2 linked regions of the Sus scrofa genome follow. The protein of the gene in region 2 purifies or fractionates together with the protein of the main gene of each other region. This does not show direct contact. Links are inferred from orthologs where the notes say so. Each region holds a gene or a part of one and is shown on either strand. Other genes may lie near its edges. The genes, in order: AKIRIN2 and RAN.

Evidence for each region.
Region 1: the proteins of RAN (region 2) and AKIRIN2 purify together in Homo sapiens (affinity purification with mass spectrometry; 3 studies listed by BioGRID and IntAct, counting the BioPlex papers as one, with this or other methods). This does not show direct contact. The link is inferred for Sus scrofa from reciprocal best matches to the Homo sapiens genes RAN and AKIRIN2.

Annotation. Positions count from the first base shown.
Region 1 is NC_010443.5:56,047,320-56,050,240, forward strand, and holds the end of AKIRIN2 (akirin-2), read right to left. Parts: intron 2,584-2,921; coding exon 2,434-2,583; intron 889-2,433; coding exon 817-888; coding exon of another isoform or gene 731-816; exon of another isoform or gene 563-730; coding exon 552-562; downstream 1-551. UniProt on the Homo sapiens protein: Molecular adapter that acts as a bridge between a variety of multiprotein complexes, and which is involved in embryonic development, immunity, myogenesis and brain development.
Region 2 is NC_010456.5:24,314,959-24,319,497, reverse strand, and holds the start of RAN (GTP-binding nuclear protein Ran), read left to right. Parts: upstream 1-1,473; 5' UTR 1,474-1,735; intron 1,736-2,316; 5' UTR 2,317-2,326; coding exon 2,327-2,362; intron 2,363-2,793; coding exon 2,794-2,878; intron 2,879-2,958; coding exon 2,959-3,084; intron 3,085-4,279; coding exon 4,280-4,467; intron 4,468-4,539. UniProt on the Homo sapiens protein: GTPase involved in nucleocytoplasmic transport, participating both to the import and the export from the nucleus of proteins and RNAs. Switches between a cytoplasmic GDP- and a nuclear GTP-bound state by nucleotide exchange and GTP hydrolysis.

The sequences.
Region 1 (2,921 bases), on a different chromosome or scaffold from region 2:
TACCAAAAAAAAAAAAAAAAGGAAATCATATAAACCCATTCTGAAACCCCAAGAAAAGTCCTGGAATACAGAAATGCCCTCCTCCTTCACTATTTCACAGGAAGCACTGTAGGCTATTTGCTTAATAATGTCCTGGGATTACATTCTAAATTATTAATAACTGGTTACATCTTGGTTGTAGTGCACAATTAAAATCACACTAACTTCATCTGAAGTGTCATTCTACAGTTTTATTTACACAACCAGTGAAGGGCATGTTCTTAGAATACCAGCTTTAATCTTTTTCAAACATTAATATAAGAAGCCAAATTGTAATGATACAGCAAATGAGGCCACTGGCATTAATACAGGTAGCAAATGTCCACATCCGGGTGGTATTGACATCAGGGAAATTTCCAAAACCAGTTGCTGCCTAAGAGTGGTTGCCACTGACAAAAGCTTGAAATAACCTGTATTCACAGGGGGTATTGGCATTGCTGCATGTCATAATTGGGACCTCTTGCAACAACTCAACAAGGAACAAGGCAGCCCACAACTGCAGAAAACGTGATTCATGAAACATCTAAAGGAGGAAAAAACGAAAATTAGTGCAAAGTTCAGGTCAAAAAATTTAAACACATACCAGATCTTCATCCCTAATATATTGCCTTACGTATTTAAGTAACCAAAAGTAAGCCTTAGTAAAGTTTTGCTGCTCATTTCCTCCAAACTTTTCCTCCAGGATTTTCTGTTAAATTTTCTTCTTGGGTATATAGACGATAATAAATGTCTTCTTAAAATACTGTCTTGTTTTCAGTTCAAAGATGAAATACTTACAACTAGCAGGCTGTTCTCCATATCGTCGCATTATTTGATCATGCGTAAACTTCACAAATGCATCATATTGTTCTGTAAATAAAGATAGACATCAATTACATGACTTAAAAATTCTCACCTAGGGAGTTCCCATCATGGCTCAGCAGAAACAAATGACTAGCATCCGTGAGGACACAGGTTCAATCCCTGGCCTTGCTCAGTGGCTAAGGATCCTGTGTTGCCGTGAGCTGTAGTGTAGGTCACAGATCTGGCGTTGCTGTAGCCGTGGTATATGCAGGCTGGCAGCTGCAGCTCTTGATTCGACCCCTAGCCTGGGAACCTCCATGTGCTGCAGGTGCCGCCCTAAAAAAGGACCAAAAAAAAAAAAAAAAAAATTCTCGCCTATATTTGCACCTAACTCCTTAATCAAGCTTCTAATATCAAATCCAGTAAAATCTGTGGCTTAAAAGCCAGGGGAAAATTCTGATTAAGTTACCACAAATAAGTTTTATTTATTGCACCTTAAACTAGCAAGTTTTACAGGAAAAAAATTTTTTGATAGTTTAAAAGAAGACTGCAGTAGGTGCCAGTTAAATTCAAGTGTCCAGACTGATAGCAAAATTATCATAAAAGACACAGTCAAAAAACCCACAGCTGGGAGCTATTGGTCATAGTGCAGTGGAAATGAATCGGACTAGTATCCATGAGGATGTGCGTTTGATCTCTGGCCTCCCTCAGTGGGTTAAGGATCCGCTGTTGCCGTCACAGATGAGGCTTGGACCCCGCGTTGCTGTGGCTATGGTGTAGGCTGCAGCTGCAGCTCCAGCTGAACCCCTAGCCTGGGAACTTCATATGCCATGGGTGTGGCCCTAACAAAAAAAAAAAAAAAAAAAAAAAACCCCAACCAAGTCGAGATAAATAGACAAAGTCAAACATGGGTACATCAAAAGAAAAACCTAATTCCCTAATACTGCTGGTGATCTCATAGCTAATGAATACTTCCTTTTTTTTTTTGCTTTTAAGGACCGCACTCAAAGCATATGGAAGTTTCCCAGACTAGGGGTCAAATTGGAGCTATAGCTGCTGGCCTACACCACAGCTATAGCAACACCAGATCCGAGCCATGTCTGTGACCTATATCACAGCTTACGTCAACACTGGATTCTTAACCCCCTGAGCAAGGCCAGGGGTCGAACCTACATCCTCATGGATGCTAGTCAGGTTCATTAACTGCTGACACGATGGGAACTCCCAATACTATTTCTTAAGGTCACTCAGGAATGCCAGGAGCTATAGAAAAGTTCATTTCCTTTCTTGAATTGAAATTCTCTAGCTCTGGAGTTCCCTTGTGGACAGTGGGTTAAGACTGTGCTCAGGTCACTGCTACAGCACAGGTTTGATTCCTGGCCCAGGAACTTCCACATGCCATGGGTGCAGCCAAAAAAAAACAAACAAACAAAAAAAACAAACAAACAAACCAAAAAGAGAGACAGAAAAGAAGAAAAGCTCTGATTCTTAGAAAAGAACCCTGTGCCAGTGTACAGAAAGGGCAATTTGACATAAAGTACATGTGGGATAGAATGCATTTAACAAACTCTAGGATGAATTTCTGGGAGACTCATAAAATTCATCTCATACCTGCAAGTTTTGTGTTCAGTATTTCTTCATACTCTTCTCGAACTTTCTCTTCACGTTCTTTCAATAAACGTTCACAGATCATCCCAACCTGCCGTAGGGTGAATAAGGGCTGTTCTTTTTTTAATGGTGAGGACGTTGCTGATGGAGTCCCTAAATAAAACATAAAGAACAAAAAGCACAACGTTCAGAGCCATCACAGAAAGCACCATCTAATTTAGGTTTCATCTGGATCTTTTCAATGTTCAAATACAAGCATTTTTCTATCACTAGAAAGAAAAAGCATTTCCCTAGTCTTAAAACAGGTTTACCTGTCAGCTTATGACTTTGGAAAAACACAGCAAAATGTGAAAAAACACAGCAAAATGTATGCAATCAAGTATAAAGAGAAAAAAGTCTGAAGGTGAGTGGAGAGAGACAAGATACAAAAACTTAATTCTTAATTTTTTTTTTTTGGTCTAGGGGTCTAATCAGAGCTGTAGCCGCCGGGC
Region 2 (4,539 bases):
CTCCTTGGGCATATGTGTGAGTTGAACTCTAGGGCATCTCCCTAGAAATGGAAATAGATGGTCATGAGCTATGGACATTAATGTGTGTTTTATTCCATTCTACTCTCCCAAGAGGCCAAACCAATTTACACTCTCACCAGGGGCATCAGCTCTACTTGATGTTTTCGTGGGGGGTGTCTAGGGAGTCCTCAGACTTGACTTTGCAGCAGGCATGTGCTCAGATGTGCTGTGTCCAATATATCACGAGTTCCCAGTAGACTAGCCTGCAAGTATGCTCAGGACTATGTGGCTAACTCCTTGGTCATTTGGGTTCTCTTTGCTCTGAGAAGAGTCCCCAAGGTGGAATCTTTTGAGGAACTTGGCTATCCTGATATGCTTGCTTGGGGAGAGGGGATCAACATATCAGTTTGAGGAGTTCCTTGTCGTGGCTCAGTGGTTAACGAATCAGACTAGGAACCATGAGGATGTGGCTTCAATCCCTGGACTTGCTCAGTGGGTTAAGGATCCGGTGTTGCCGTTAGCTGTGGTGCAGGTTGCAGAGGTGGCTCGGATCCTGCTTTGCTGGGGCTGTGGCGGAGGCGGGCATCTACAGCTGCGATTAGACCCCTGGCCTGGTAGACCCCTGGCCTGGGAATCTCCATAAGCGTTGGGAGCGGCCCTGAAAAAGGCAAAAAGACAAACAAAACCATATCAGTTTGAGAATCTGTGGCTGTTCAGACAAATGCCAAAACCTGGCCTTTAGATTTACGATGTGAGGTGGGAGGGCTCCGTTTGGCCAACGGCTTTGCTCAAAGCAAGTGAATGGGAATAACCAACACTTGTTGAGTTTGAGGTGTACCTCATTTTCTCTCTTGGACAATGGCCACAGGTGGATATGCCCTGGAGAATTAAGTTCTATGAGTGCACAGTTCTTGTCTGGACCCTTGACAGCCTTACCCTCACAAGAGTCTGGAACCTAAATACTCAATGACTGGAACCTAAATACTCAATGACTGCATGCCTGTTTGTCTCAGAAGAGCTGCCAAGGTGGAAACACTACATTGCATCATCCTGTTTGCAGAATAGGGCCACAAAGGCTGCTGACCACTTAGATGCTCAGAGAAAAAAGTGACTGGCATTTCAGGATGGGAAAGACATTGGTCTTTGCTTCTTTTACTCTCCAGAAGGTCCTTACTGAGATGGGGGTGAGGGTCAAGGGCAGGGGCCAGAATACCGGTGGGTGGGGGTGGGGCAGCACGCACCCCAACATGGCGCCCGCTCGGGGCCTGCGGTGCCGCGTTCGTACAGCTGCGAGGGGGGGGGGGGTCAAAGGCTTTGTGTGGGCCACCCCGCGAGTTTCCCGCCCAAGGGGGCCTCGGCCCTCTCCTCCCAGCTCTGTTCCCGCGGCGGCAACAGGGCGCGCCGCGTCGCTGTCAGCGCATGCGCGCGCGGGAACCCGCCCTCTAGGCTGGCGCACGTGGCCCGGCAGCCCGACGTGCGTGCGCGCGACCGCCGGGCCTCCCGCGTCCGGGGCTCCGGGAGCCTCTCCCTCCTGGACGACGGGTGCGGCCGCCAAAGCTGTGCTGTGTGCGTGTGCGCGCGCGCGCGCGCGCCGGGCCACGTGGGAGCGGCGCGGCGCCGTTGCCCCGCCCTCCCCCGGCGCGCGCCGGCGTCGTCTGCGTCTCCGGGCATTTGAATTGCGCTTCCGCCATCTTTCTAGCCCTCAGTCAGACGGGCGCGGAGACGCTTCTGGAAGGTAGCGGGGCAAGGGTGGAGGCCGAGGAGCCAAGGCGGGGATGGGGGGGTCGGGGCGTCCCGGTGGCTGTGGCTAGCGGCAGCCATGAGGAGGTGGTTTCGCGGGGCCTAGGTGTCAGGTGGAAAGCTCTCTTTCCTGGCCGCGGAGGCCCCGGGCCGGCGCCGGAACCCGGGCCGCAGTGGGCCGGGCGGGCGGAGAGGGTCCCCGGGGCGGCCAGGCGGAGGGGAGATCGGGCTGGAGGGTCCTGGCGGGGGCCAGGGGCGGCTGGGCCTGGTTGTGCTACCGTGACCAGGCGCTTTCCGCGCCCCGGTCTCCGCGCCGAGCGAGCCTCCCTTTCGCCCGGCCTCCGCGCCGACTGGGCGCGCGCCGGGCCCCGGCGGCCGGAGGAGCCCGGCTGAGGAGCAGCGCCGCCGTCGCCATTGGCGCGCCCTCGGCCGCCCGCGTGCGGTGTCGGGGGAGGGGGAGTGGGCGGCGGGGCTCCGGGTTGGAGGCCTTTGTGGGCCCGGGCACGTGGGGCGGGTCGGGCCATGCGGCCCGCGCCGCTGTGCAGCGGGCCTCACTTCTTTCTCCTTCTCTCGCAGTAACATCACGATGGCTGCCCAAGGAGAGCCCCAAGTTCAGTTCAAAGTAGGTAATCCTCGTGAGTTGGGGATCTGCTGCTGTGGACCTGAGGAGGGGATCTGCGGGGGGGGGGGGCTCTTGTCCAAACGGGTTTCACAGGGTCTCCTTTATGACCGCAAACCTGTGTCGAAGGCCCACTTCGTCTGCCAACATGTTCGTGCCGCGGCAGGGCCTTCAGCCCCCCGATAACGGGGTGGGGGTGCTGGCCCCACCCTACGGATAGGGAAGCTGGGCAAGGGAAGTTTCATTGGCTCCAGTCATTCATTAATATGGGACAGGGCAGCTTCATTAAGATTCTTTGTTTTAAATATACTTAAGGGATATTTAAAGTTCTGTTATGTAAGTGCAATGGGTGTCCATAAAATCTTAACTACATAATTCTGAGATCCTGAAATGTTGCGTGTCTTGGTGTTTATTTCAAAAATGTCTTTCGACAGCTTGTATTGGTTGGTGATGGTGGTACTGGGAAAACTACATTCGTGAAACGTCATCTGACTGGTGAATTTGAGAAGAAGTATGTAGGTACGTAGGGGAAAACCATTGATGAAGATGTGTGCGAAATGGATGAGTTCAGCGACTAACTGGAAGTGCTTGTGTTTCAGCTACCTTGGGTGTTGAGGTCCATCCCCTTGTGTTCCATACCAACAGAGGACCTATTAAGTTCAATGTATGGGATACGGCTGGTCAGGAGAAATTTGGTGGACTGAGAGATGGCTATTATATCCAAGGTAGGTGCTTGATTTGTAACCAACAGTTTTCGAGAGGATCTGTGAGTTGGTCTCCAAGGTTGCTTATAAATAATCCGATCTAGTCCAGTAGACTCATGCATAGTACTGACTGAACTGGGAATCGGGTAGTTGGATCCAAAGGATGTGCTGGCTTCAGGGACTTGACCATCATTTGAGGGGCAGAGAATTTTGTGAAGTTTGTTATGTGCCATTTGATTGTGTCATGATAGGCACGGTTTTGGAAGAAACTATGGTTTGTGTTCAGGCTCATAACTTAAAACGCCACAGACAAGCTGTTACTGGAGCTCCTGTATTTGAAAACTTGGGAGTGTTTGAATATATATTTTGGTGATTTCAACGATTATTTCTTGTGCACTCCATTGAAAAGGTAGTAAACATTTGAGCAGATGCTGGACCAGAGGAGCTAGGTCTTCTGTCTTATAAAATGTTGTATAGGACCAGCTGATTTCTTTTTAAATGTACTAGGTCTTGTGGAATATTTATTTCAAAGTGCTTGGTTTAAAAAATGGAAGGAAATAAGTGCTTATACCAAGAAAAAAAGATGAATAAAGAATGCTTATTTCCTAGAATCTTTCTCTTTTGATGAAAATTGTTGAGAATCTTTCCATGTCTTTTGCTTTCCTTGGGTACATACAAATGCAAGGATTCCCGCCAGCCAAATCTTTTAGCTACAAATCTGTGTGATACACTGTGCCTACTTAGTGGCTTAGCAGCCTTATTATGGCTGTTCTATAAGACAATAAATACGGGCTTCACTGAACTTTTGAAAACAGGCACACTATATATTCTCATGTATTTATCTATTTAAGAACCTTTTAAAGAATAGATTCTTACATCCTATATGTGGAAGGTGAGTTCTCTGGAATGCTAATTTATTGTTAATCTACATTGGGTATTTTTTTTTTGAATGAGGCAGAGTTTATGATGAATTACTACAGGTGGAGAGATTTCATATGGTAGGCTGGTCTTTCATGCTTTCACATACAATAAAAGAGAATTTAAAATAATGTATATTTAAATGGTCTAAGATTTTTAGAATTGGTATAGACCTTGCAATTGAATAGAGAAATTAGAGTTAGGCCTGAGATTATGAATCTGAGTCCATAGTTTTCAACATTTTTTTCATTTGGGTAGTAAATTCCTTGGTATGTACTAATTGCTGTACATTTTCCAGCTCAGTGTGCCATTATAATGTTTGATGTAACATCGAGAGTTACTTACAAGAACGTACCTAACTGGCATAGAGATCTGGTACGAGTGTGTGAAAACATCCCCATTGTGTTGTGTGGCAACAAAGTGGATATTAAGGACAGAAAGGTTAAGGCAAAATCGATTGTCTTCCACCGAAAGAAGAACCTTCAGGTACATTTCTTAAAACTTAAAATTTCTGAATTATGATCCTTGGGTAAAATTATGATACAGGAACATTAAAGT